Notamacropus eugenii: one gene and its partners. The protein of the gene in region 2 binds, or shares a complex with, the protein of the main gene of each other region. Links are inferred from orthologs where the notes say so. Each region holds a gene or a part of one and is shown on either strand. Other genes may lie near its edges. The genes, in order: DHX16, CWC22, PPIL2 and CWC27.

Region 1 (7,429 bases), on a different chromosome or scaffold from region 2:
TGACCTCTAATTCATGATCTTAGGTTCAGACTGTTGTACAATGTGTTCTAGACATTTTCAGCGAAAGGAGAGAGCCTTTGGCTCTCTGGGAGTCAAAGAATCCAAATCCCCTAAGGAAGGGGGCAAAGCCTACTGAGTCATGAGAAGGTAGAATTTTCCTTCCTTCTGAATAGCACTCTATCCATTGCTAACCCCACCGTGCCAACACCCCACCCTGCCCCAAGGTTGGTAAGTGCAGGCCACTCTGCCTTGAGAAGTTCTGCCCTCATTCCTTCTGTTTGTTTACAGGTGCATCCATCCCCTCTGGGGGTTAAAGATGTACTTTTTTTCTGCCTGGGTCTCCACCCACTTATGTTTACAGCTTCCACTTTGCCAAGTCTCACTCAGCCAAAGTTCCAGGTTTACAGATCACACCTGCCATGGTTATGTTACCACAACTCAACCAGTGGGCGGTCCTCTCACTTGCCTTCTACTGTTTGGAGCTTGGCTTTCTTCTTGAATGTCTAGCCTCCCTAACCCTGCCTTGTTCAGTATTATTTGGGTCTTCCAAAAGGAGGAGGGGTGACCTCAATCTTTCCCTCCCTTGTAGCAGTTAATTCTTATGTTTCTTCCAGTGACCCAGAATTAAACTGAAGGGAACACAGGAGGGTCCTAATGAGGTCCTACCTTACATCTCCTTGTCTATGGCCTTTTTTTCCTTCTTTAATTTTCTGTAATAAAATGGAGGCCTCTCTGGCTACATCTTTAATTCTTCCAATGAGAAGTCTATGGGGTGGGAAGCATGAATTTGACCAGATTTTCATGCTCTAGGGGAAGGGAAGGGCATTCCCTGTTCTAGGGAACAGATTGAACTCTCTTTAGCTTTGTTGGTTGTAAGCAGAAGAAGAGACTTCAGTGCAGGGGGAACAGCTTTGGGGGAAAAAAAAATCAAGTGAGAAGAGCTGAAAAGATGGAGAAGTGGACCTGATACCCTCACAAATAGCTAAGAAAATCTCCCTCCTTAGGGTGTGTAGCCCATAGAAGGGAGGTAGGGAGTTCTATTGTAGCTGGCTCCAAAAGGAATTCATTGTAGGCCCGGTAGGGCCCTTAGAGTTCATCTAGTCCAATTATCTTCATTTTATGAACAAAGAAATTCAGTCAACAAACATATATTAAGCACCTACTTGTGTGCCAGGTACTGTGCTGAGCACTGGTGATACAAAGAAAGTCAAAAACCAGTTCCTGCTCTCAAGGAAAGATTTAATAAGATCCAAAGACAACATGTAAACAACTATGCACAAACAATACAGATACAGGATAAATGGAAGATAGTCAGCTGAAGGAAGGCACTAGAATTAAGGAGGATTGGAAAAGGCTTCTCAGAGAAGGGGGAATTTTTTCTGGATCTTGAAGGAAACCAGGATGACCAGGAGACAGAGATGAGAGAAAGAATGCCAGGAGTTCAGGCAGCTCTTGAAAATGCCCAGAATCAAGAGATGGGTTCCATCCAAAGTATTGCTGGATTGCAGAGTAAGGTATAAAAAGACCAGAAAGGCAGGAGAAGGCCGGAAGATTAAGGGCTTTGTAGACCAAAGAATTTCATATTTGATCCTAGAGGTAATAGGGAACCATTGGAGTTTGTTGAGTGAAAGAAAAGGGTTATCTGGTCAGATGTGTGCATTAAGGAAGATCAGTTTGACAGTTGAGTAGAGGATGGATTGGAGTGGGGAGAGACGCGGCAGGGAGACTAATCAGGAGGTTACTTCAATATTTCAGGTGTGAGGTGATAAGGCAAGATAGTGGCAGTGTCAGAATAGAGAACAAGATGACGGATAGTTCGATTTTTACAAAAAGGAGAAAGAACAGAATTTGGTGACAGATTGGATGGGGAGGGCAGTGAGAGTGAGGAGTTAAGGATGATACATAGGCTACAAGCCCTGAGTAGTTAGAGGATTGCAGTGGACAATAATAGGAAAGATAGGAAGAGAAGAGGTCTTGGAGGGAAAAATAATGAGTTTGGTTTTGGATATGTTGAATTTAAGATGTCTGCAGAACATCCATCTGAAGACAGGAGATTAGAGGCCAGGAGAGAGGTGAGGAGCTAGGTAAGTAGATCTAAGAGTCATCAATTGAGAGGTAATTGAATCCTTGGAATCACTAAGTGAAATAGTATAAAGGGAAAGGAGAAGAGGGCACACTTTAGGGACACCCAAGGCTAATGGGCATCACTCAAATGAATGAATAAAACATTTATTAAGAACTTGCTGTGTGCAAAGTACTGTGCTAAGCACTGGGGGATATACATAGAAAAGTAAGACAGTCCCTACTCTTAACCAAGGAGCTCACATTATAATAGAGATAACATATTGGAAAGGTTTCATGATCTTCAGGGTGCAGAGGCAAAGCAGATTATGTCCTTTCCACTGATAAAATCATTGGTTTCTGATAATGAACCATTTTACAGTGTCAAGGGCTTTGGTAGCAAGAATCCTGGGTCTTCCAGGACTACATTGGGTCCAGTTAGCTGTGGCTGTAACGCCTGTAAGAGCAGTTGTCAGGCTGCATCTACACAGGGTTTGCTTCCTAGGACGATGACTGAAGGCACTGAGGTTGGAAGCATTGCTATTCCCAAGACTCAGGTTCAGGATCATGACCTGTGCCCATAGGTTCCGAAAGGAGATAGTGGTCAAGGTTGTAATGATAATCTGACTTGCCAGACACATGCTGCCTTCTGGCTCTCTCTCTAGGTATCTTGTGTGTGGCAGTTGGTTGGCAGTTTCTGGGGATGGCTGGCTCTTTCACCAGAGGAGTTACCTCTCTAGATGATGACTGTAATGGCCAGGCCTGAAACAGGACCAGTGATCTAAGACCTGTTGCCACTTCTAGGGCCCATCTGACTATTGGTGGCAGTTGGATAGGAAGGTGGGCTTCTTCTCCACAATGATTCCTCCCCTCAATGAATCCAGAAAAGTAAGCTAAGAAGAAGCATTCACACTGGGAGAAGAACCAGGAAAGAATATTGTCATAAAAACTTAAAGAGGAAAGAGTATTTTTTTTTAAGAGAGTGATCTATAGTGTCAAAGGCTGCAAAGAGATCAAGAAATATGAGGACTGAGAAAAGGTCACTATATTTGGCAATTAGGACATCATTGGTAGTTTTGGTTAAATGATGAAGATGGGAGCTAAACTATACAGTTAAGACAGGAAAGAAGGTAGAGGCACCCATTGTAGACAACCTCAAGGAGGGTAGCCACAAAAAAGGGGGGAAAGATGAAGGACAATTATGAGGATAGATGGATCAAATGAGGATGGGGTTAACAAGGACACGTTGTTAGGAAGTAGGGAAGCAGCTAGTAGGTAAAAAGTGACTAAAGATTAACAACATGGGCAGCTAGGTGACCTAGTGAGTACAGCACTGGCTCTGGAGTCAGGAAGACCTGAGTTCAAATCCAGCCTCAGACACTTGACACACTTACTGGCTGTGTAACTTTGGGCAACTCATGTAACCTCAATTGCTTGGACACCCCCCCCACCCCCACCCCCACTCCCCCCCAAAAAATAACAAGAGAATAGGGAAGATAGTCTGCAAGAGAAGAGAATGTTCTTGTATGTTGCAATTTGCCATGGCAAGAAGTACTATCTGTGAGACAGAGGTGAAGGATCATTCTATCCGAATGATCTTAGGAGAACGAGCTCTCCATGAACAGTCTCAATTTTTTCAATGAAATATGAGTTAATGTTCTCAGTTGAATGAATAAGGGAGGGAGTCACAGGAATTTTGAGGAGGGATGAAAAGGTTTGGGAAAGCTATTGAAGCTGAAGTCCTGAGAAGCTGTAACTTCCCCAAGGTTATGTGCAGATAGAAAGCAACAGTATCAACTTCATGAGCTGGAATATCAGAAACTACTGTTTCCATTATTTCAAATATTCAGGCACACACTGCTACCCAAGCAATCAGTTGTGCAAGATATAATGTTTGTAGCTCTAATCTCTTTTAAGACCTTACAGTCTGGTCTCTAATTGAGAGATTTCCCCTCTACCAGTGGACAAGGCAGTTGACATAATAGTGAGTGTCTCGGTGATTTTCCAGTTCTCGGGCATCTCTATATATCTTCCACAAATGCCCACTGTACTATTCCCAAAGCCCTGATATTGAGAAAATCCCATCCTTCCTTCAAACTTCATCCAGGAGGCGCTTCCCCCAGCACAGAGAGAGCAGGCAGTCACTTAACCCTTCCACCTCTCCCCAGATCCTGGTTCCCGGCCTTTCCTTGCTGCGAAGTCCTCCTAGACATCTAACTTCTATCCTTCATGCTCCTCTTCTTGGCAGGTGAAGCCTGGCGAAGCCTGTAACGCCGCCCGCTACACATGCAATAAGACCTCCACTCCTGTAGGGGGAAGCCAAAAAAAGAAACGGGGTAGGAATTCAAACCGGAAGTTTTTCTTGTCCTCGGCCTCCCGAAAGGTCCCTTTTCGTATCGCCATTTTCCTGCCTGCTTGGCTGGCGGTACGGCCCGGAAGTGGTGGGTGCCGGGGCTACGGGCTTTGCGCCTCGGGGCCCTGAGGGGCCCTCGCTCTGCCTCCCTTCCGAGCGCACGCGCCCGGGCCGCGGCCTTTGCCGGGACCATTGCCGTGGCCGCGGGGCCCCGCTGGGGCCGAGCGCCGGAAGTCGGGGCCGGCTGACGCGCCCAAGTCCCCATGGCGACCCCGGCCAGACTGGAGCGCTGGGTGCAGGACGAGCTGCACGCCGTGCTGGGCCTGAGCGAGCGGCACGTCGCGCAGTTCCTCATCGGCACGGCGAAGCGCTGTGCTACGGCCGACGAGTTCGTGGAGCGGCTGCGGGACACCGGCACCTTAGACCTCAGCGGGCCGGCCCGGGACTTTGCTCTGAGGCTCTGGGCCAAGGTGCTTCCGGGAACGCGGAGGGAGCCCCCGGAGGCCGGGGAGACAAGCCCGGGGAGGTGGGGGCGGGGCCGGATGTCCTCCTCTGGGAGACGAGGGAAGTCCGTCCGTGGCCACCACGTCTCTCGGTGGCGCGGAGGTTAGCGGCTGTGAATAGTGACGAACCTGCGCGCCATAAATGCCCACGGGCACCGACGGCATGTGGTGTCCTCCTGCAGATGAAACTGGTGAAAGGGCGCAGGAGGGGCCCCAAAGTGCAGCACACGTCGGGCTGGCATCAGCGGGGCTCACGAGGGGGCATTACAGGGTTTACGTGGTCTACTTGTGGGATAAGACACCAGTAGATCTGCATGCAGCGGGTGGGATGGTTCCATCAGGTTGTCGTTGCGTGTGGCCTTAGTTTTCCAAGAGGACCATGACATGACATGATGACATGACTTTGATTTGAGTGAGGGAGAGCTGTGCAGGGTCACCAACCTCACTTGAGAGAGAAGCAAGACAAAATGTCATGGGAAATTCAAGGGGAAAGACCATTAAGGATCCAGGGATCAAAAAAAAAGGGCTTCATCCTCTCATTCCTCACCTGAACTGCTCCTCAACACACACAACTGGGGAAGCTGTTGTTTTCATTGAGTATATCCTAGTGCTAGCTCTGATCATAGGAATACATGTAGGAAGAGATCACAGTCACCACGTGTGCTAAACTAGGAGGATTCAGAGAGGCAAAAGACAGCCCCTATTCTCAGGGAGCTCACAGTTTAATGGGAGAGACAGCTGGTTTGTGGAGGTTACAAGGGGAAATAAAATGGATGTGTGGAAACTGAGGAGTTATAGGAAAGGGATAGATGATGAAAGATGTGAAGCAAGTGCTCTAGGGTACTGAGATAGGCAAATGGAGCTAGCAGCTGATAACCTTTTGTCATCCCTTCCTTTCCTAGGTCCCACGGAAGGCAGTTGTAGAAAGGCCAGGCCGGGTGGCAGAGCGTGAGGCTTTGGCTCTGCTAGAGAAGAATCGTTCATACCAGCTTCTGGAGGAAAGTGAAGAGAGCGATCGGGAGATCCAGAGCCTAGTGAGAAGTGGGTCCCAAAAAAAGAGCAAGAAACGGAAACATCTTAGGAAGAAGACCCATGAAGAGGAGGAAGAAGAGCAGGACTCTGAGGGAGACAAGAAGAGGACAAAGTGAGTATCTTGACAACAAAAAGTTCCCCAAGGGGAGTGGAATTTGGGTAGGAGAGCCAATAATTATGAGTCAGAGTATGATTAGACTCTGTTTCTCTCTTACTTTACCTAAACTGGGGCTGATCTGCAGGGTGAATGAGAGCAGCAAAGAGCAAAAGCCAGAGTCAGAAGATGAGTGGGAACGAACTGAGAGGGAGCGGCTTCAGGACCTGGAGGAACGGGATGCTTTTGCTGAACGTGTGCGAAAGCGGGACAAGGAGAGAACACGAAATATTTTGGAGCGGTCAGACAAGAAGGTGCATAATTGTTGGTGTGTCTCATAACAATTTATGTAGATACTCGAAAGAGAGTGGCAGCCAAGGAAGGCCCCTCTGTAGTTTTATACTCCTGATATCATTGTCAGATTTGTGACCCCACAGATGATAGTCCTTATGAAGGGAACTGGATCCTTGTAGCCCCATGTTTGTTGTTATTCTGGCAAGTATGACTATGGAGAGTACAGTCTTTTTTTTTTTTTTTTTGAGTACAGAGTCTCTTAAGCATCATTTTAGCATCTGCATTCATAGACAATTCTCCCCATAAGGTACTATGACCTCTAATCTGTCTTCATGATCCTTATGATTCTGTAGAAGTGGGGGTGGGAGCCTGGTTCCTTAACTACCTCCTTATTTCTCCTTTTAGGCATATGAGGAGGCCCAGAAGCGCCTTAAGATGGCTGAAGAAGACCAGAAAGCAATGGTAAGTCATATCCCCCATAACCTCTCTTGTGAGCCAAGATTAGATGCCTGGAAAAGATCCCCTGTGTGTTATAATGGAAAGAGTTTCGAGTCAGAGGACTTGATTTTGGTTAAACTCCATTCTACTGCTTCTGTCTATGTGATCTTGGGCAAGTGTCTTAGCCATTTGAGGCCTCCTCTAACTCATTTGTAAAATGAGTTGGCTGAACTAGATGATCTATATGGACCCTTCTACTTCTGCATCTCATGTTCTTATCAGTTGTCAGGTTCTTGAGACAGGTTGTAGTTGAGGTTTGGATTATATGTAGACACTACTGCAAGAGGTACAAAGGATAACCATGAGAAAGACTGCTTGCACGTGAAAAGTATGTTCAAGCTTGCTGCAAACCCTCCGTGGTTGGTTCTTCAAGGACCAAGTTATACATCGTATTAACAGGGGGATAAACTTCTTTTGGAGATTGTTTCCTTGTGTCATTGATGAATGTGCAACTGAAAGTTAGCTCAGAAGGAAAAGGAATGACTGGGTAGATGTCAGGATGCACTGGCTTTGGGGTCCTCTGCCTAGTCATCCAGCTTGGGGAAACAGGTCTTTATAGTTCTTGTGTGATATAGTAGAAAAAGCACTAGATTC
Region 2 (6,975 bases):
ATCCTGTCACAAGCAACCAACTCAGCAAGACTACACCTGCACCTTCCTGCACAAGAATATTTTAAAGTAGTCACAGAAATACTAGTTTAAGATTAGGTTTGAGCAGGATTTTCCAATCCTTAGTTTGGTCCATGCCACACACTGTGTTTACTTTTTGAAGATCAGCCTAACTAAATACAGAGAAGCTTGTCACTTGGTGATGACTTGGAACACAGCCACTAAACAAAGAAAAATATAAAATGGCCCTCAGTGCTGTCATCCTTTATAGAAATGACAAAAAGGAAGAATTCACAGAAACATGGTAGATTTGTACGAACTAATTCAATGAAATAGGGAGAACCAAAAGAATACAAAATGAAGATCTTTAAAATGAAACCAAACTTTAAGTAACTGAAAAACCAATGACAGTATTGGAGAATAGATAAAGAAGCTGTTAGATTATGGTAACCATATTAGTTGCTTTTCTTTGTTAAAAGGGAAGCTTCAATAGAGGTAGGGCAGGCAGTGTTTGTTCTCTCCAGAAATGAGACTGTTATAAAACACAAAAGGCATCAATAATTATTTTTTAAAAATTAATTTTTAAAACAGAGCAACTTGATAATCAAAGCTTACACAGAAACATTTGTGGCTAAGGTTGAAGAGGTAATGTTATCAAGAACTTGTTAAGACCTAAACTGAATGAACACATATTTTGACACTCATAGGATTGTGTTCGTTCTTTGTTGCCGAAAAAGACCATGCCATCAGACAAATGATGACATGGCTTGCACTTGACTTTGAGGGAGGGAGGGCTGTGCAGGTCACCAGCCTCACTTCTCCTCCAGAGCCATCTGAATCCAGTGACCGGATATTCACCAGGATGACTGGAGATGACCCAGAATGCAATGGGAGACCTTGGCCCCTTTAGGCCAAGGTCTATTCAGGTACTCACTTAGGGTGAGGCAATGCCCATTCATTGAATAGGCCCGTTTAAGAAGTAGCCAGAGCATGGTCCCTTTAATGAGATCAAGAAAACAAAGACAGCAGGTTGGGTGGGAAACAGCAACAGTTATTATTGATAATCACTCCAAAGCTAGAAGGATCCAGAGGAGCCCTTGGGCAGGGGTCCATAGGCATCCCAGCTTCAGTGTGCAGTAGTTTTAATGTCACAGGACAGGAGAAGACAGGACAGGCTGGAACAGGGGCCAATAAAACCCAAGTCAATTGGGCATCTTTTGGCCATCCAAATTTATCTTCCTTTGGAGAGGAGAAGAAAGGGGAAGGGAGGCAGACAGGAGAGGAGTTGAGTTACTCAGCTAGCTGGGTCCCCCCATCCAGCCAGCTGCATCTACTCACAGGATTGTGTTCATCCTTCCTTGCTGAAGAAAACCATGCCATCGGAGAAATGACATGACTTGCACTTGATTTTGTTTTGAGTGAGAGAGGGCTGTGCAGGTCACCAGCCTCACTTCTCCCTCTTACTACAGTAAAAGGAGAGACAAAGGTGGAAGAGAGGAGAGAGTAGGATGAGAAAAGAAGAAAGCAGAGAGAGGTGGGCAGAGAGGGAGAGAAGGGGAGCAGGGGATGGAGAGAGAAGATATGGAATGGAGAGAAGAAAAGAAAGGGGGGAGAAGTAGTGGAGAAAGGAGGAGAGAGGGTGATAACATTTACTATCATTTTTGGACTTTAATAAGGGCCAGAGCTTGAATTAATCAGTCAGAAGAGCCTGGACCTAACAGTCTCTTTGTTCTCTAAAGTAAACTCAGAGAATACCTCTTCTTATGTCAGCAAGACCAGATGGGGCTAACTTAGTATACTTTATGAGACTATTAACCCAAGACGCTGTCTTGAATAATAGGGCTTTTTTCCACATTTTTAATGTTTTGTGGACATATACTATGTTATGGTATGTTAATGGTGAAGAAAACTCAGATGTCGAGTCAATTTCAGTTGAAACTTTGTCAACTCTGTTACCTTATTGTATCTACAATCCATTCAATTAAGAAAATTCCTTTCTCATGGAATGATTAAACCCACATAGAGACCGTAGATCTGAGGGACACAGACACGCCTGGACGTCCTAAAACAGACTGAAGCCTGGTCATTCTTGTATTAGAATTAGGGACTGACTTTTCCGGCTCCACAGTCATGGAACCCCAAGTTCTAAGGGAATAAACCATATGTATTCAGGCTGCTTGCCTTTTTTAACCAAACTTTCAGGTCAAGAGAGGGGAAGGCTAGAGGGGAATGGAGAGGAAGGAGGGGAAGGAAAATGAACATGGGGGATTAGGGGAGGAAAGGGGGAAAAGAGGAAAGGGAAGACGAGGTAAAGGTAAAAAGGAGGAGAGGAACGGACTAGGAGAGAAATACTTCAGCGCTTCCTAGGTGCCGGCATTGTGGCTCAGCGCTGTGTACTCACAGACGCCTAAGAAACGTCGGGGGGGGGGGGGGTCACCTCTAACCGCCCAGAGCCCCCCCCCCCCACCTCCCCGATCCCCACGCGTGGGGACAGGGCTCCGGCAGCGACCCCATCCCTCCACTCCGGGGCGTACCCGCCAAGAGGCAGGGGCAGGCCCCACGTCGAGGGGCGCCAGCTCTGCCCAGACCTCCTCTGTACATCAAAGCAGCCACATGCGGAAGCCCCGCGCCCCTCTTCCCCAGCCCCACGCCCGCTCCGCTCCGCCATTCCTCGCAAACGCGTTCAGCAAATACCTGGAGCTCCACTGCGCCACCATAATGCTCCACCACGCAACTTCCGGTTCCTCTGGCCCCGCCCTAACTCGAGGTTTGGGGCGGCTGGGTGGCTGTGGAGAGGAAGTGAATGATAATTGATTTCAAAACCTGGATACGGAGAAGCCGTCGGTATTTCCAGAGCTGGATTTTTTCTTGTTTTAAAATAATCCCAAATCTCGATACCATCTAGAGAAGCCGACCACTCCCAAACCACCGAAATTTCTACTTCGCCAAGATGGTCACTAGGGAAGTGTTCAAAAAAACTACAAGCTCCAGCGTACACCCACGTAGAGGGGAGGGTTCGCGCAGTGCATAGTGGACGTTGTAGTACGGCCGGGGCCGCAATGCTCTCTGGGAATCCGAGTTCCCCTTGTTACCTCTAGAGGTACTCACGATTGTGTGAGAACTGTGCTCGGGTGCTCAGCTTTAAAGCTGTCTTACCGTGATTGAGAAGGTTATTAAGTTGTCCGGGATACTCCTGCAGGAAAACCCTGGAAATGCCCGATAGTGTATTTGCTCCCTGTGCCTTCAGGAGTTACAAAGCCTATAAAGCTGCAGAATTCTGCCTTTACAGGAACACGCGACAAAAAGGTATTGAGCTGCCTGGGTTATGGCTAGACTAGGTTTGCTAGAAGTCGGGAAGGTTTGTTCAGATGCTGCCTCCGACTTTATTTGCGGGACCACCCTGGGCATGCCGCTTATTTTAACCTTTATTTCCCGAAAAATGGGAACAACCATCTTAGGCTTTTCTCAAATGAGATCATGTAAGTAAAGTGCTTTGCAAATTTGAAAGCCACAATTTAAATAGAGAAAACCCTGTTTTTTTGTGTAAAAAGAAAGCTGCTCAAGGGTAATAGTGAATGAAGGGAGAAACAGCATTTTGAGGTCTCAGACTATACCATAAAGTATTATCATCCAAATACACTTAAAGGTAGAAGGTAAAGTAGTAGTTAAAAGTTAGAAGTTGTTAGTATTTAGTAGTTAGTAGTTAAAATTAAAAAAATCGGTGGAAAAACTAGATAAGAATGAATCAAAAATTAATTAATTTGGAATGGTAATTGATAAAAACCCAAGCGAGTTACTGTTCGGAACTGGAAATTACTTTGGCAGAAATGAAATGTAGACCAACATCTTACAAAATATTACAAAATAAGCTCAATATGGATACCAACCTAAATATTAAATCAATCTCTCTCTCTCTCTCTCTCTCTCTCTCTCTCTCTCTCTCTCTCTCTCTCTCTCTCTCTCACACACACACACACACACACACACACACTCACACTCTAGAAGAAGAGAACATCTGTGGCTAGGGGAAGAGTTCTGAACCAAGGGATAGAAATGATCTTAAAAGATGAGATTATTTTGATTATATAATATTGAAAAGCTTTTAAACTAACAAATCAATGCAACAGGGTTAACAAAGAAGCTTTTGTCTGGGTAAAAATCTTTGCCTCTAATATTTGTGATCAAGATGCAGCATTCAAGATATATAGGAAGCAAACACAAATATTTAAGACCTAGCTTTAATTCCCCAATAAATAAATGATCAATGGATATGAACAAAAATTTTCAGAGGAATTGTAAGCTGTTAAACATATGAAGTATTAATTCACATCACTAGTAATAAATTCAAATCCAAACAGTCCACAGGTTTCACCTCATACCCAGCACGTTGGCAAGGATGACAAAAGATAAGCACAGATAATGTTGAAGAACTATTTAAAGATAATAACAATATACTGTTTTTAGAACTATGAATTAGTCCAACCATTTGGGAAAGCAATTTGGTATTATGTTTAAAAAGTGACTAAATACATATAACAAGGATATATCACTGTTAGGCATATATCCACCAGAAAATAAAGGATAGAAAGAAATATCCTATATACATAAAAAGAGTTGTGGGAACATGTTTTGTAATAGCAAAGAACTAGAAACAAAGTAGCTGTCCAATTAGTGAATGGCTACACAAACTGTTATATAGTAACATAGTATAAGTGGAGTATTACTTTGTACCAGAAATGGTGAATATAAAGAATTCAGAGAAGCTTGGGATGACTTTGACTAATGCAGAGTAAACAGAAGTAATGAAAAACAATATGTAAAACAATAGCAATATAAATGAAAAGAACAACAATAACAAAAACAATGGTGTAATGACCAACCTTGACTCGAGAGAGGAACTTTAAAAATGTACCTTCTTTCCTTCATTGTTGAGGTTGGCAACCATGGTTGTAGAAGATTGTACATTTTCTCATTCTAGGTCAATGTGTTGGTTAGTTTTGCTGAGCTCCTTTTTCTCTTTAAGATACTTTGTTACATAGGTTGGATCATTGAGTGAGGGTGAAGGAGATCAAAGGATATACTCAGATATGAAGTTAATAGAATAGAATAATAATAATAGCTAACATTAATGTAATGCTTTACAGATAGTATCTTATTTGATTTTCATAACAACCCTGGTTATCATCCCCATTAAATTAATAAAATATTTATAGATTCCACCTGCTATTAATTTTCTGAAGCACATATAAAGATGTGGTTATGCCCCAAGGCTCTGCTGTGATTGTTAAATCTTTTGGGTTATAGGTTGGTTCCCCAAAAGCTTCTGTCTCAGTCTCTTTCTCTCTGTGTCTGTCTGCTTTCCCTTGGTAATTACTATCTCCCTCTCCTCTTTTTATTCTAGGTTCCTTTCAATTAGATCTGTTGTTGCTGCGTTCATCCTTCGTTGCCGAAGAAGATCATGCCATCAGAGAAATGATGACATAACTTGTACTTGACTGTGCCAAAGTCTTTTCAGGAACTCACTTAGGGTGAGGTAACACCCATTCAGTGAATCGGCCTCTTAAAGTAACCTGGGATGACCCCTTTAATGAGGCGTAGAAAAAAAAAACAACCTCAGGCTGGTAGGGAAACAGCAACGGTTACTATTGACTACTCTTAAGCCGTGAGGGTCCAGAAGAGAGCCCTTAGGCAGAGGCCTAGTGTCGTCCAATGTATGAACTTCAGGGTGCAGTAGGTTTAAGGTTTAGAAAAAGGCAAGGTAATGCAGGGCATCTAGCTGGTAAAACCCAACTTAACTGGCCATCTTCTGGCCATCATTAGGCTCTTGCCTAATCAGATCTACTAAGGAAGGGGATGCAGGTTTACAATTTCTTTCTTATCCTCATTCTCTTGAAGTAAACATTTTCCTTATTAAAGACACTAAAGGAGTTTTAAAATAAAAAAGTAAAAGTTGCAAAGTTTTAACGTAACCTTAATAGAAGTAACTAGCCTGGGCACTTTGTAAAAATGCAAATTAATCTGGCATTTTTCTTCCTTAGCTCTTCTTCAGTTTATTGATCCCATTCTTTTAATTTTCATCTCAGTCATTCCTGAAGAAGGATTCTAGACTTTTTAAAGAAAATTATTATTTTTAAATGATATCACCCTGTACAACACTTAATAGCTATTATCAGAAAGTAGAAAGAAATCTCACCTGAGCTCCCTCCTCCCCATTCACTAACAGACATTGTTATATTCAGTATAAGTAAAATGGGGAATCACTAAAGGGTGACCTTCAGTTTTTTCAGAGACACTAGGAGGTGCATTAACCTTTTAAAGAGTGACTCTAGTCTAGACTAATAGTCTACATGTAAGTATCTCCCTTACCACCAATATTTCCTGTGTCAAAATCACATAGGATCACTGGTTAAGAACTAGAAAGGACCCTGGAGGTCATTTAGTTCAATCACCTCATTATATAGGTAGAGGCCCAGAAGGATGGAGTAGGCAGTGAGGGGCAGAACTGTGATCATCTTGGGCTGCTTGCACACACACAGACACAGACACACAGACACACAGACACACAGACACACACACACACACCCAATTTTGGTGCTCATCTGTTGCTCAACTCTCACCTGTGGCTCGAAGAAACTTTAGCATGCTCAGTGGGTACAGCATGGTAAAACTGCCTTGGCAGACAAGTTACACCAGGTTGAGGGTAACTAACAGGCTTCAAAACTTTCAGTGAGTTAGGGGGATGTCTACCCCATCATGTGAAGACTTTTGGGAGGATGGGAACAATATGTTCCAAGGGCCATGAAGGTGGCTGAAGCAGATGCTATGAAGTTCTTAAGAGTCTGTTTAGACATTGAAAACACCAAGGTCATCCACTGCATCCTGGGTCATTACCAGTTGTCTTGACTTTTGTCTTACCACTGGACGTTGAAGGCTCTGGACGAGAGAGAGTGGGGCTGATAAATCTGTGTGATGGCAAGC
Region 3 (7,625 bases), on a different chromosome or scaffold from region 2:
CTCCCTGGCCCCCCATGAAGAGGAGAGCTGCCAGAGGGCAGGGAAGGGCTCCCTTGTGCCTGTGTCCCCAGCATTCAGCCCAGCGCCTGCCACAGAGCCAGGGCTTTCTCAGTGAGTGCCATTCGCCGTGTTACCACCCTCCCTCCCTCCCCGCAGCCTCTGAGCCCCCGAGGGCCAGCCTGAACCCCCGAGTGTCGGTGGCTGGGACCACGGTCCTCCGTGGAGTGGCCTGGAGCCAAAAGCCGCTCACACGGGCTCATCCAACAGCCCACGGGGGGCAGGGAAGCTCTTACCTGCAGTGGTCAAACGGCAGGCGCCGGAAGTTCGCCTGTGGGAGATCTGTGTGAAACGAAGCGGGGGCCGGCGTCACAGCTGGCTCTGGAAGCAAGGCCGCCAGGGGGCTCCTACGGGCACCCCCAATTCCAGTGCCCTGGCGGAGGAGGGGCAGCAGCGCCCATCTCCCGGCCCCGCTCTCTCGGAACCCTGGCCCAGGCCCCACCTCGGCTTCAGGCTGCTCACCAGCCAGCCCCAGCATTCCAGGGGTCACCCTGGACGCCCCCGGACCCTTGTAACGCCAAGGCCCTGCCACCCAGGCCGGAAGGAGCCCGAGTCCAAGGGCCTCCCTGGAGCCCTGGCCGTGCCCTGCGCCGTCCTGGGCACCCACTTTCACGTCCTGCTGCAGCCCCTTCCTCCTCGTGGGCCCCCCAGCGAGCACTTATTAAGCACCAACTGTGTGCCAGGAGCGGAACGCTCCCTGCCCTCCAAGCGCGGACGCTTCTTCAGGAGACAAGGGGTAGGTCTATAAGGCCCGTTTGGGGGGGGGGCGGCAGCCGGGGGGCCAGGACAGACTTTCTGCAGAGAGAGGAGGGGGATTCTGGGGCAGCTGTAAGGAGAAGCACCCCAGGCAACGGGGGCAGCCGTGCAAAGGCGCAGAGGCGGGAGATGAGGCGTCGCGGGGGCTAAACAAGGCAGAGCTGGGGGGGGCGCTCGAGGAACACGATTGAGACAACGGTGAGAAGATGCTCCCCCCGCCCGGGGTCCCCGGGGTCGGGCCGGCGGCGGGTACTCACCCGGCTTCTTGCCCCCGTAGAAGTGCGTGTACTCGGCGCAGGTGATGTACCTGAAAAGGGAGGCGAGCGTCACGCCACGCCGCGGAGGGCGGCCCCGCCCCCCGCCCCCCGCCCCCCGCGGAGCGCCGGCCCTCACATCTTATCCTTCTGGTGCTGCCGCTTCCCCATGGCGGCGGCGGGGTCGGGGCCGGGGTCTGCCACCCGGGCGCCCCCGAGCTCAGGCCCTCCCAGACAGCCGGCGGGCCGCCCGCGCAGCCCACTTCCGGGGTGCCTCCGGAACTTCCGGTGAGTCTTCCGGAAGTCTGTGGTGTGCCGGGAAATGTAGTCCCGCGGGTGGGGCGGGGGCCCGCCGTCACGGAGCATGTGCGGGGAAAGTCAGCGAGGCGAGGTCCCGTATGGAGAGTACCCTAAAATGACAGAGGGCCGTGGGACCCCCGAAAATCGCCCCCGCGATCTGGAGATTCGCCCAGGAAAGGACCTTGGAGCTCATAGGGACCCATCTCGTACAACCCCCTCGTTTTACAGATGGGGAAGCTGAGGCACGTTTGTCCAAGGACGCGCAGGTTCTAGGTGGCAAATGCAGGCATTCGAACGCAGGTCCTCATCTCCAGCCCCCTTGTTTGATAAATGAGGGTTCTGAGGTCCAGAGAGGGAAACCCTTTAATCCACACCAGCCCCCCGTTAGTTCCCAGGCAGCAGGATCCATCAGATTCAATTAAACAACCACATTAAGCGGCCCTGCAGGGGAAAGGCCAAGGAGGGCTGAGGACGCAGGTGGGAGCCCCAAGCAGTGGATGAGCTCCAGCACAAAGGAAAGGGAGGAGGACGGATGACGTCACCCCTCCGCCTTACGGTCTGGGAGGCCACTCAGGCACCATCCCTCCGGCTGCGCCCTGGGCCTCACAGTTAGAGCCACACCTCCTGGGGCAAGGTTTTACGTGGGTTGTATATGTTGATCATCGGCCATAACAGAAACGAAAACAGCTTGGTGTTGTAAGAAAATAGTTTTGGAAGAATCCCAGAAAGGGTCTCAGGGACCCCCAGGCTACACTTTGAGAGCTGCTGCCTTAATTTACAGATGAGAACTTTGAGGTTCAGGGAGGCGAAGGTGCAACCCAGCCTTTCCCCTATGGTGATAAATCTGGGGTCAGGGTCATGGGCCAGTCTGGATCTGTGGCTGAACCTTAGTTTGTAAGAAAGGCTAGTACTACTTCCGGGACTGCGGTGATGCCTCCTTATTGTCAGGGACCCCCAGGGATCCCTGTAAAGCTTCCTTCCCTTCCCCTTCCCCGATGTTTGGCTCATTCTGGATGCAAAGGTCGGAATTCTGGAGCCAGAGAATAAGCTAGTGCCTCAAGGAGTCCCAAAAGAAAGGGCACCTTAACTGGGGCAGGAGAGGACAGTTCTTAACTCTGGGAGCATTAATGGAGGCAAAGGTGGTCTGTTATGGGAGGAGGGACGGGAGTCAGGGGCTCCAGAAATGGGAAGTCACCTCCCTGCAACGTGTGCCTCCTTGAGAGCGTGGGGTAGGAGAGGACAGAATGTTCTTTAGCTCGTGCCCTGGACAGCCCGGAGTCTAAACGCACTCTTCACCATCTTTGTGTGTGTGTAATTGGTTCCCCATCCCTCCCTCTCTCTCTCACACACACAACATGCAAGCTTGCTATGTGTAAAGCGACATAAAAATACGTATGAATTAGAAATGGTCAGTAGAAGGGAATTGGGAAGGGTTTCTTCTGCCAGGTGAGCTTTTACTCTGGACTTGAAGGAAGCCTCAGGAGCCAGGGAGCGGATGCAGGGGTATAAGCGGAGTCTTCTGTTCCACCCTGGAGAGGAGAGGGAGTCTCTAGGGATGATTGAGTGGGGGAGGGTGACATGGTCAGGCCTGCCTTAGGAAGATCAGTTTGACAGCTGAGTGGGGTACACTGGAGTGGGGAGAGCCCAGCAGCTGGCACTGGCAGGAGGGGATGTGGGCTTGCATCAGGGCGGGGCAGCTTCGGAGAGAAGGGGGCGTGTACCAGAAACATTGCGAACTCGGCTTCTGATTGGCTGCAGAGGATGAGGGGAAGTGAGGTGCTGAGGCTGACACCTGGGCTCGGAGCCTGGAGGCTCTCGACTGCACTAAGACTGTTAGGAAGAGGAGAGGGTTTGGGCAGGAAGACGAGTTATGTTTAAGGCTCGATATCCCGCACAAAACATCCACCAGGCAGCTCTACAGAGACGTGAAGCCCACGGTCAGCAGAAAGGTCAGAGATGGAATCTGAGAAGCAGGCCTAGAGGCCCAGGCCTCCCCACTATCTACAACCCAGAAAAGGAAGGATGGAGAGGATCGTTAACCCATTTCAGAGGAGGAAACTGAGGCTTACCAGAGGTGAAACTTGATAACTCGAACGAGGTGCTGACCCACCTCTTCTGCCTTCTGTACCAAGCCTTCCTGATCCAGGGCCATACCCATGCATGGATACCGCATACAATACTCTGTATATAGCTTGCACACCCTAGTTATCTAAGTCCACCCCATTAGAATATGGGTCCCTTGAGGGCAGGGACTGGGTTTTTTTTGGCCTTTCTCAGGATCCAGGTGCTTAGTCCAGGACTGGGCACAAAGAAGGCCCTTTCCAATCTGCCTCATTGACTGACTGTGGGCTATGCTGCTCAGGGAGCCCAGGTGTCCCTAGCTCCGAAGGGTGTGAAGGCCCGTGGGAGCCCTGAGCCCAGCCACATGGAGGGAGCCCTTCTGACTCATCCCCACAGCAAAGGGAGAGATCGGCTCCCTCAGAAGCAAACAGACCACGTTTCATCGCTGGGTGTGCCGTGACTGAGACAGGGTACCTGGCACAGTAGGTGCTTATTCATGGATGGACTGAGGAGAGACTGCTTAGATCACCCCTCAAGATAGCTGGGGAGAGAGACCCCAGGTCCTTGGAGACAAACCATGAGCAGATCCGTCCCCATCAGAGCTGGCTCTTCCCTTTCCTGGGCCCCACCGCCCCCTCTGTTGAGAACAAAGACAGAAAGTTCTGTGTGGGTTGTTGGTATCGGTATTAACATTCTTCACCGTACCAGCTGTCTCAATGGCATACACAGCACCAGCAAAGAAAAAATGTATAATTGCTTATAATCAGTCATCACTCTTTCCAGATGCCTCCAAGCTCTCCAAACTTCTCCTAACCCTCCGGGCCCTTGGACATGACTCACTAGAAGCAAGGGCTCCCCATGGGTGCTTCCCCCAGCCCTCTGCCCCCATGCCCCACCCCCAGACAGACATCTATGGGCCACTTCCAGAGTGGCTGGTTGTAGGGGCCTCAGGGTCAGGCCAACAGGAGGAAGGCAGGGAAGGTGGGTGGGGGAGATTGCTCTCACAATATGCTTCCTTCCTCCTCAGAGGGAGGCTCCAAGGGTGCTGGAAGAGAGCCATAAGGGGTGGGGGAGGAGAAGCCAGGCCTGCCAGCCCCTGGTAGTGAGGACCCTTCTGAACAGTTTGCTGGGCATCAGCCGCTGCTCCCCGGGCTAGGACTGTCAGCGCTGGGAGGAGGTCCTGAGCTGGCTTGGCCAGGGGGCTGCACTGTTTCCACAGTCTCCTCAAGGCTTCCACTGGGGAATACCACATATCGGGTGCTGCCTGAACCCTGAGCGTCCTTCACATTCTCCTTGCTGTGTCTGATTCCATAGCCAAAGTAGACGCCAAGCCCTGTGGGGGTTAGGGGAAAGAAAGGTTAGGCTGCCCAGGAGGCCTGTGCCCATCTGAGAGGAAAGCATACAAGAGGTTACCCAGCCTCTGCCAAAACATCTGTAGGCATAGGAAGCTACCATTTAAGGCAGCCCATTCTAATCGTAAGCTTTTCCTGACATCAAACAGAAATACCACAGTGTACAACAACCTGACGGAGCTGTTCAGAAAGAGGTGTTCAGTCTGTTCTGTTTAGTTCTAGAAAGTAGAACCTTCCCATTGGTAAAGGAGTCACAGGGCTTCATATATTGAGACATTATCTAACGGTGAAAGTGTCCAAATGAGAACGGGGCTGCCCCAGACATCACAAGATCCCCACGACTTCTGGTCTTCCTACAGGGGTCACATGACCTCTTCCTAGTCAGGGATGCTGGGTTAAGACCCAGATCCTTAACCTGGGATTAAGAACTCTTTTTAAAAAATATTTTGACAACTATTTTAAAATTGTGTTTCCTTTGTAATCCTGTGTATTTTATTTTGTGCATTTAAAAACATTATTGTGAGAAGAGGTTGCCAGACTGCCACAAACAACCTGGTCACATTCCCCTGCCCAGGTTTAGATTCTCTCTCCTTTAAGGTCCCAGGGAACCGGGGACTTCTGATTCTGCTTAGGAGCCTGGGGTCAGGAAGGGAGAGTCCAGCCAGACCAGACAAGATAGACTGAGAAGAGGCACAGAAAGCTTCCACTCTCAGCTGTCTCCTCCTCCCCAACCTGAGCCCTCAAAGCGAGCCCCAATCAGATGGTAAAATGGTCATAGTTTATTTGAAAGGGATAAAGTCCCCTCCTCAGGGCAGGAACAGAATATAAACTAGAAGCCCCTTGAGAGCAGGGGACATTGATCTCCAGGGTTCACAAAGCACCTGGCCCTCGGTAGATGTCTGCTGCATTGAAAGGCAGTGGTGTGTGGAGATGACAGTGGTTCCCAGCCCTGGAGAGACCCTATCAGCCCCTGAGAATGAGAAGCCAGAGCTCACTTGGACACTCACCTGCCAGTAACCAGATAGCAAAACGCAGCCAGGTCATATAGCTCAATTTCATCATGAGACAGATATTCAGAAGGATGCTCAGGGCTGGAATCAGAGGCACCCAAGGGATCTAGGAGACAGTGGAGGGCAAGGTTGAAGCACAGAGTAGTGGGGAAAGAGTGGGAGAGGGGAACTGGGCAGGTAGGGGTGTGATCTGCTCAGCTCACCCCCCTCCCAGAGGCTCAGGTGTGGTCACAACAGTACCAGGGTTGTGAGCATAACCAAAATCTCTCTCCTTCATCTACACTGGCTCCTTATTCCCTCTCTTCTTCCATCTCAACCCTTCCAACCTCCACCAAGAATGAGGAGAATCATCATTGGCTCTGAAATCAATTTTGTTTAGAAATATACAGTCAAATAGAAGCTCGAGCAGCTAAGCTAAGAACCCCAGGTGCCAAGAGGGGACTTGGTCGGTGTGGGAGTGGGCAAGTGTGTCCTAAAGGGGATTCTAGGGGTCCCAGAGGTGAGTGTGGGAAGGATTTGCACCCAGGTGGAGGAGTCAGTATATGTGCTGAGGTAGTCATTTAGTCAGCCAACAAGTAGATATTCAGTGCATACTATGTGTTAGACATTGTGCATAAATGTGTGAGTGCTCCTTTGGAATGAAAGAATGAAAAACCTTTGCAGTCAAGTCCTCCTCCCAATCCCTCAGGCTCTTAAACCAGGGGTCATCCTGGATCCCTCACTAGCTTGAACCCCCCCACATACATTCAAGCTGGTTTAAAGGCCTGTCAATTTCACCTCTGCAGCATCTCTTGTTCATTTCACCATTGCAACATCTCTGATCAGTTTCAACTGTACAGCATCTGATGTCCATTCCACCTTTGCAACATCTCTTGCATATAACCTCCTTCTCTCCTCTGACACTTCCCCAACCTTGGAGCAGACCCTCATCACATCACACCAGGACTGTAGCAATAGCTATTAGGGATGGGTGTGGGGAAGGGGAGGTCTGCCTGCCTTGAGTCTCTCCCGTTCCAATCCACCCTCCACTCAGTTACGAAAGTCATTTTCCTAAAGTGCAGGTCCAAGCATGTCACCCCTACTCACCATGGCTTTGATGCCTTCCCATGTTTCCGGTCTTTTACCTTATTCCCCCCCAACATGTTCTCTTTGCTCTGGTAACACAGGCCTCCCAGCTGTTCCACAAACAAGACCCTCTATCTGTCTGCTCTGGGCATTCTCTGTAGCCACCCACATGCCTGAGACATGCTCCCTCTTTTGCTGACTATTGACCTCCCTGATGTCCTTTAAGTCCCAGCTAAAATCTCATCTTCTACAGGAAGCCTTCCCCAACCCTTTTTATGCTGGAGCCTTCCCTCTGTGATTATCTTTAGTTCATCCAGCAAATATCTGGTTGGTACTGAGTCGTCTCCCCCATTAGACTGTAAGCTCCTTGAGAGCTGGCCAGAACTTTGTTTTTGTCTTTTTCTGTATACCCAGCACTTAGCACCAATGCCTAGTACATTAGGGCTTAAGAAAAGATTATCTTCTGACTGACTGACTTTCACACCTAGTGAAGACTCATCTAAAATCCCACCTTCTGCAGCAGGCCTTCCCCAGGGTCCCTAGCTGCCAATACCTTTCCCGTTTCAGATTGCCTTCAAACCACCATATAGGTATCTAGTTATTGACATGTTGCTCCCCCTATTAGAATGGAAGTTCTTTGAGGGCAAGGACTATGATTCTTGGGAGGAGAAAAATTGGAAGGGAGGGCAAAAGGGCTGAGGAAGTTGGAGGAGGAAAGTTACCTGGAAAGTATCCTGGCTTGGCTGCTGCTGATGGGCACCAAGGAGAAG
Region 4 (6,951 bases), on a different chromosome or scaffold from region 2:
CTCTGACTATGGATCATCCTCTTCTTGATATTCTCTTCTCTCTAGGTTTTTGGGATATGACTCTCCTGATTCTCCTCCTACCTATCTGACCACTCTTTCTCTGTCTCTTTTGTGGGATCTTCCCAAAGATCATGCCCTCCAACCACAGATATCCTTCAGGGTTCTACCTGGGGCTTTCTTTTCCCTCTATACTACTTCTTCACTTGCTGATCTCATCAGATCTCATCTATTTAATTATCATCCTTAAAGCTAATGATTCTCAAATTTACCCTTCTTTTCCCAGTCTCTCTACTGATCTCCAATCTCACATCTTCAGCTACCTTGTAGACATCTTAAACTCAATATATTCAAAATGGAATTTATTATCTTACTTCCTAAACCCTCCCCTCCTCCTACCTTTCCTAATACTGTAGAGGGCAAAGCCATCCTCCCAGTCCTCAGGCTTACAACCTAGGAGTTATCTTGTACTCACTGTCAACCCCCATTTCCAATCTTTTCTCAGGGGCCTGTTGATTTTACCTCTGCAGCAACATTTCTCAAACATGCCCTTTTCTCTCCTCTGACACTGTCATTACTCTAAAGTGAACCCTGAAAATAGCCTGCAGGTGGGTCTGCCTGCTTCTAGTCTCTCCCACTCAATTCACCCTCCATTCAACCAAAAATGATTTTCCCAAAATGCAAGGTCGACCATGTCTATTCAATAAACTTCACTCTTTCAATTATCTCTATTTCTCCAGTATATAACTTGCTTTGCATAGATTTGCATATGGTCTACCTCATAGATTATAAGCTTTTTGAGGCCTGGAACTTTCTTTTACCCTTTTGGTATCCCTGGTGCTTAGCAAAGTACCTGGCAATTAAGCAGGTGCTTAATAAATGTTTACTGACTGTTTTTCTTGATAAAACTCCTGTGGGTCCCTATCTCTTCCAGAACCAAATACAAAAATCCTCTGTTTGACCCTTCGTATTCTAGAGCCCTCCTTTACTCTTCTTAAGCCTTTACTCTATGAAATGTACTCATCCTCTTCAATCCACTGATACTGGCCTCCTTGCTGTTCCAGGAACAAAATACTGCATCTCCCAGCTCAGGACATTTTCTCTGACTGTCCCCCAGGCCTGGAATGCTCTCCATCCTCAACTCTGCCTAGTAATTTTCCTGGTTTCCTTTAAGTTCTAATTGAAATCCCGTCTTTCATTGAAAGTCTTTCATAACCCCTCTTAGTTCTAGTGCCCCAAATCTCTCTTAATTATATCCTAGTTATCTTGTATATAACTTGTTTGTACATGTTTGTTTGTTGTCTCCCCCATTAGACTGTGAGCTCCTTTATGGCAGGAACTGTGTTCTCCCTCTTTTTGAATCCCCGTTTAGCACAGCACTTGTCACAGGGGTTTAATAAATGTTGTAGTAGGCATTTAATAAATGCTTATTGGCTGGCTGACCACTTACTAGCCAGGTGACCTTAAGCAAGTCCCATCATTCCATCTCCCTTCCCACATCTACAACAGGAAGGGTTTGGACTAGGTGGTACCAAAGGCCCTACCTGGATCTCCAGCATCTAGATAGGAGGTTCCCAAACTTATTTGGCTTAAGGACCCTTTTCAAAAAAACATTACTTGGCACACCCCTGGAAATCTACAAAGAAAGTTTTCTTTAACACTTTAAAGTGTTTTTTAAAATTTGCATCATTTCAAAAAAATTTTTTTTAAATTACACAAGCTAAATCTAATAATTTATTATAAATTTGTGGGGTTTTTGACTGCATTGAAATTTTGAACATAGTATCCTATTGTAAAAAGTCATGGCCTGCAGGGATTCCCGCTGATATTCTGGACTTTCTGACAATGCAGGGCAACCTCACTTGCCAACATCTGCTTGTTTAAGACCTGCCCCTGGACTTAACCACTGATGGGCTATAGCTTGCACTTTGTATGCTTATTTGGAAAATCACTTACTCACAAGGACTTTGACTTCATTACACAACAGATGAGACATGTACAAAGTTTTTCAAAATTTTCTTCTCTTCTTTCCTTGTGCTTCCACAGCCCCTTATTTTTATTAAGCTCTCCCAACTGCACCCAAGGTTTCTACCACCAGTCCTGCCCCGAGCCTGGATCCTTCCAGCTTCGCCCACTTTGGGATCCTTTGAATCCAGATTCCAGAATCCGGATTTTGGATCATAGTGGGTTCATGATAAATACTTGACTGGGCTTCCTTTCATGCAAGGATTCTTTACCTAGGGGATGTAAACAGATTTTGGGGGGGTGGGGGGGAAGAGGTTCCTGTAAATTTGCATGGGAAAAAAATTACATCCTTATTTTCACTAACCAATTATTCAAAATTCTTCTGAGAAAGGTTCCACAGACTTCACCAGACCGGCAAAGGGGTCCAGAACACAAAAGAGGGTTAAGAGTCCCCTGCTTCAAAAGTTCTGAGGTCGAAGGAAGGCTGGGGGGAAAGAGGAGAAAGTAGACAGTTCCCCTCTCTGTGTGTTTTGAAAAACTGAGCACCCAGTTCGCGTCGGGTCCAACTGCAAATCTTCCCCAAGTATGGGGGATGGAATCTGCCATGTCCTTAGCTGTCATCTAGTCCAGCTTCCTCACTTTAAAGACAAGGAAACTAAGGCCCGGGGAAGGTAAGTGACTGATCCAAGGCGGCACGGCTCGTAAACGACAGGGCGGGAATTCGAACTCGGGTCTCCCGACTCCAAGGTGCGGCCGGCGCTCTCCACAGCGCACCCCGCCAACAGGGAAGCGAGGGGGAAGCTCCCCCGCGCCCGCGCGCGCTCTCACCTTTCCGTTGGTGGGCGGCTCCTGGATGTAAATGTTGCTCATCCTGGACGGCTGTCGGGGGAGGGGAGATCCGCTGCCGGGCTCCTTACGAGGCTCAAGGGCTCTCTGTCTGACCGTCCGCGCTGCACGGCGAAGGGAAAGCCCAGCGGGCCAGTCCTGACAGCTCCTAGAGGCGGCCTCAGCTACGGCATCAACTGCCGGTCCTGCCCTTCCGACAGCCTAACAAGGCACTAACTGACCCAGGCGGCCGCCATACTGCACCTGGCCCTGCGCACCGCTCTCTGCGGGGAGGGGTGTCCTCGACCTTCTCCTACAGAAATTCTCCTGGAGAGAGTGAAGAGAGCCCGCTGAGCATCCGCTTGAAGTTAATATTCATTTAATTATCTAGCTTCGCAAGAAACTTTCTTTTGTTTTAAATCAATCTTTAGTTAACGATTGGCAAGTCCTAAACGCCCTCCCCCGGTGTATGTATATGTCAGAAATGGTTTGGACCACCAGTGCTCGGTCTTATGCCTCCGTCCGCGAACTGCGGCTGAAACTGCCGCGTTCTGTAGTCTTCCTCGGGACTCGGGTCCCTAAGAGGAGGCTGTGGCGGGAGAGGGGAAACCCGCGGCGCAGCCGGAGTCACCGGAAGCGGTGTCCGGGGAGCGAAGGCGGCGGCGGCGGCGGCGGCGGCGGCGGTGGCAACGGCAGCTGAGGCCCAGAGGCTGCTTCCGCCCGGGCTATGGCCCTGCCAGGTGACTGCCCCGGGGTCGGCCGGAGCACGGGGAGGCGAGCCGGGAGGGAGGTGGCGGGGGAGCTCGGAGCTCTGCGGCCTGGGCGAGGGAGAGCGTGAGCGGGAGGTCAGGTTTCCGTGGTGGATTGTGTATGTGTGTGTGCGGTGTGATTGTAGACTGTGAGTGTGTATATGGGGGATGTACTTACATGTATGAATGTAGTGGGAACACGTGTGTGGTGTATTGTGCATATGTGATCACGTGTACGTGAGTGTGTATGTGTGGTGTCTGTATGTGTGTGTAGCGTACGAACACATGTGTGATTGTGTCATTGTGTATGTGCGGTGTGTGTACCAGGCGGTGGAGGCAGCTAGGTAGATCCGTGCCTAGAGGTTCATGTGAGGCCTCAGACACTCCTTAGCTGTGCGGCCCTAGACAGATCACCTCCACTGGAGAGGGGAGTGGCCAGCCCCTCGCCTATCTTTGCCAAGAGAACCACCTCACAGGTCATGAAGAGTGGGATACAACACAGCACACATGTCATTGGGTGGCGTATTTGATTACGTTTGCGTGGTATATGTTTATACGTATATGAATGTAGTATGATTGTGTGTGATTGTACATGTGCGAGCATGTATTATGTGGGCGAAATGTGTGCTGTGATATGGCTTGAGAGTGTGGGATATAGACATGTACGTGGCTTGTGTTGCGTACATGTATACACATGCGTGTACACAAACACATTATGTTTGTAGTTGTATGTCATGTCTGGTGTGTGTATGTGTTTACATGTGTATGCTTATATGTGTATATATGGTATATACATATTTTATGTAATATATGTTTATGAATATATGTGTGTCTGATTATGTTATATGTGGCGTGCATGTATGAGTGTAAGCATGCTGTATATGCATGTGGTATGCATATGTTATGTGATGTATTTTGTATGCATGGGTATATGTTTATGTGGTGTACATGCATGTGCGTGCGAATGTATAAAGTATATTTGTGGTATGTATGTGGTGTTACATATATGACAGTATTGTGGACAGTGTATATGTGGTGTGTGTTTATAGGTATATATGTTGTGCGTTCATGTCTGCATGTGGTATGTATATATGTATACATGGTGTGTGTGCACAGATGTTTGTGGGGGAGAGAGTAGGAGAGATGGGGGAAGCGTGATATTTTTAAAAGTTTTTTAATAGTAATAATGCCTTTTTTTTAATTAAGTTAAACTCCAGAGACAGGGTGGTGTAGTGAAAAGTGTCTAGAAACCAAAGCCTAATTTTAATTAATCTAGATGTGACATATTTTCTACATACCACCACCAGAGAGCAAGACACAGTCCCCTTAATTTCTTCGTGCCTCTGTTGACTCCTTTAAAAGAGGTTATACACTAAGTGGTTTTTAAGGACCCTTTCCAGCTCTAAATTCTATGGCCCTAAATCAGGAGTTCTTAACCTTTTTTCCCCTGGGTCATGGACCCCTTTGGCAGTCGGGTAAAACCTATGGATCCCTCACCTAAATAATGTTTTTAAATAATTGAAAGAAATACTCAATTTTAATTAGAGGTTAGTTTTTAAAAAGAAGTCTTTTTCCCCCATCTAAATTCACAGTCTCCTTAAAATCTTTCCACAGACCTCTTGTCTATTTTGTATCCCAAGTTAAGAATCCCTACCCCAAATTGAGGCATGGTTAAAGAATGAAAATTTCTCTGAGCCAGTTTCCTAAGTGAATACTTGTCCTACCTACTTTAAAGTATCATTCCTGGGAATACACTCAAATCAATTCAATAGGCATGTATTAATTGCCCACTTCATGGTACAGTGCTTGGAGATGGAGTCAGGACCCACTTAAATTCTCTGCCTCTTTAATACCTGTATAACCTTGGGTACCTCACTTAACGTATCTGGAACTCAGTTTGCTTACCTGTAAAATAATAGGATTAGACTAGATAGCATCTGAGATAACTTTCATTTTTAAATCTATGATCCTATAAACTGCCTCCCCAAATCTACGTTGTCAAGGGATATGGGGAAGTAGAATTTTGGTAAGTCAGGGATCATTCTACATTCTTGGTACTTAGTATTTCTGGAGAGTATAACACACACACACACACACACACAAATTATAATATAAAATTATACATGATGTGTACATTAGAGATTTATGTAAAATGCTACGTGAGGTCCCAGAGAAAGAGTTGGCATTTTAATTTGAATTGTAAATAATGGATAGGAATTCAGTAGACGAAAGAATGGTAGGGGAATTCCTTTGGGACTAATGAAAAAGATTCCTAAAGGTACATTCCCAGAATAGCCACTTTGGCCTGAACTAGATAGTTGATGTATGACGGTAGTAATGCCAGACTGGAGGGTACCTTACATGCCAGACAAGAGATTGAACTTTGCCTAGGCAGTAAATTAAGGCTATTGTAGATTTTTTAGCAGAAAAGTGATGTGACCTGATTTCCAAATGAGGAATTCAGCAGAGGAGGAAAGCATTCATTGGACGGTAGAAGACTATTACAGTAGTGCACGTGAATAGTGATTATTTTCTACGTGAGGGGGATGGTAGTGCAGAAGAAAAAGGAGGAGGTATCATAAAAATGGGAAAAGGTCCCACATGTACAAAAATATTAATAGCAATTCTTTATGTGGTAGCCAAGAACTGGAAATTGAGGGAATGCCCATCAATTGGGGGATGGCTGAACAAGTTGTGGTATATGAATGTAATGGAATGCTGTTGTGCTATAAGAAATGACAAATAGTCGGACTTCAGAAAAACCTGGAAAGACTTATGTGAACTAATGCTGAGTGAAATGAGCAGGACCAGGAGAACATTATAGACAGTAACAGCTACAGTGTGCAAGGAGACTAAGCCCTTCACAACAATGCAAGGACCTAAAACATTCCCAAAGGACTCTTGAGGCAAAATGCCATCCACATCCAGAGAAAGAACTATGGAATGGGAACACAGAATGAAGCAGACTATTTTCTCTTGTGTTATGTTTTGGTTTGGTTTAGTTTTTCTCATGGTTTCTCCCATTCATTTTAATCCTTCTATGCACCATGACTTATGTAAAAATATTTTTAATAAGAATGTATGTGTAGAACCTATTGCAAGCCATCTCAGGGAAGGAGGGTGAGGAAGGGGGAGAAAATTTAAGAGTTATGGAAGTGATTGTAGAAAACTGAAAACAAATAAATTAATGTAAAAAAAATAAAAAGGAGGAGATGGTTGTGAAAAGATATTGCAGAGATGAAATTAACTGGGCTTGATGGCCAGTGTGCCAAGCTGCAGCATGTACTCTCTGTATGACCATGGGCAAGTCACTAATAGGAGCATAGCTATTCTCATCTTTTCAAATGCTGACAACCGTATTGGTGTGTCTCACTTTAAAGGGTTGTTGTATTTGAAAAGCACTTCTGAAATTTCA

Evidence for each region.
Region 1: CWC22 (region 2) and DHX16 share a complex: the UniProt entries of both Homo sapiens proteins name them as parts of the minor spliceosome. The link is inferred for Notamacropus eugenii from reciprocal best matches to the Homo sapiens genes CWC22 and DHX16.
Region 3: CWC22 (region 2) and PPIL2 share a complex: the UniProt entries of both Homo sapiens proteins name them as parts of the minor spliceosome. The link is inferred for Notamacropus eugenii from reciprocal best matches to the Homo sapiens genes CWC22 and PPIL2.
Region 4: the proteins of CWC22 (region 2) and CWC27 are in contact, whole or in part, in a crystal structure (PDB 6YVH), measured with the Homo sapiens proteins. The link is inferred for Notamacropus eugenii from reciprocal best matches to the Homo sapiens genes CWC22 and CWC27. Residues at the interface, in NP_001362958.1 of Homo sapiens: Leu239, Arg242, Lys243, Tyr245, Arg246, Asn248, Asp249, Lys250, His270, Glu271, Val272, Leu275, Glu276, Thr279, Leu280, Leu281, Glu283, Arg284, Thr286, Asp288, Ser289, Val292, Val307, Ser308, Pro309, Arg310, Gly311, Thr367, Met369, Leu372; in NP_005860.2 of Homo sapiens: Arg381, Glu382, Asp383, Gln384, Thr385, Leu386, Leu388, Leu389, Phe392, Lys393, Lys395, Leu396, Thr397, Ile400, Glu412, Asp415, Asp416, Glu417, Gly418, Trp419, Met420, Ser421, His422, Val423, Leu424, Gln425, Phe426.

The regions. Positions count from the first base shown.
Region 1 is NC_092873.1:84,542,455-84,549,883, reverse strand, and holds the start of DHX16 (pre-mRNA-splicing factor ATP-dependent RNA helicase DHX16), read left to right. Parts: upstream 1-4,414; 5' UTR 4,415-4,677; coding exon 4,678-4,884; intron 4,885-4,892; exon of another isoform or gene 4,893-5,099; coding exon of another isoform or gene 5,100-5,108; intron 5,109-5,819; coding exon 5,820-6,061; intron 6,062-6,191; coding exon 6,192-6,357; intron 6,358-6,742; coding exon 6,743-6,799; intron 6,800-7,429. UniProt on the Homo sapiens protein: Required for pre-mRNA splicing as a component of the spliceosome. Contributes to pre-mRNA splicing after spliceosome formation and prior to the first transesterification reaction.
Region 2 is NC_092876.1:243,434,612-243,441,586, forward strand, and holds the start of CWC22 (pre-mRNA-splicing factor CWC22 homolog), read right to left. Parts: upstream 3,009-6,975; 5' UTR 2,821-3,008; exon of another isoform or gene 2,532-2,820; intron 1-2,531. UniProt on the Homo sapiens protein: Required for pre-mRNA splicing as component of the spliceosome. As a component of the minor spliceosome, involved in the splicing of U12-type introns in pre-mRNAs. Promotes exon-junction complex (EJC) assembly.
Region 3 is NC_092875.1:8,218,365-8,225,989, reverse strand, and holds the start of PPIL2 (RING-type E3 ubiquitin-protein ligase PPIL2), read right to left. Parts: upstream 3,013-7,625; 5' UTR 1,434-3,012; coding exon 1,207-1,433; intron 1,121-1,206; coding exon 1,071-1,120; intron 340-1,070; coding exon 294-339; intron 1-293. Other genes in the region: SLC7A4 (cationic amino acid transporter 4), read right to left, coding at 4,562-4,761, 5,788-5,896, 7,578-7,625. UniProt on the Homo sapiens protein: Has a ubiquitin-protein ligase activity acting as an E3 ubiquitin protein ligase or as an ubiquitin-ubiquitin ligase promoting elongation of ubiquitin chains on substrates.
Region 4 is NC_092875.1:319,599,206-319,606,156, reverse strand, and holds the start of CWC27 (spliceosome-associated protein CWC27 homolog), read right to left. Parts: upstream 3,021-6,951; 5' UTR 2,833-3,020; coding exon 2,791-2,832; exon of another isoform or gene 2,327-2,790; intron 1-2,326. Other genes in the region: protein SREK1IP1, read left to right, coding at 3,515-3,527. UniProt on the Homo sapiens protein: As part of the spliceosome, plays a role in pre-mRNA splicing. Probable inactive PPIase with no peptidyl-prolyl cis-trans isomerase activity. As a component of the minor spliceosome, involved in the splicing of U12-type introns in pre-mRNAs.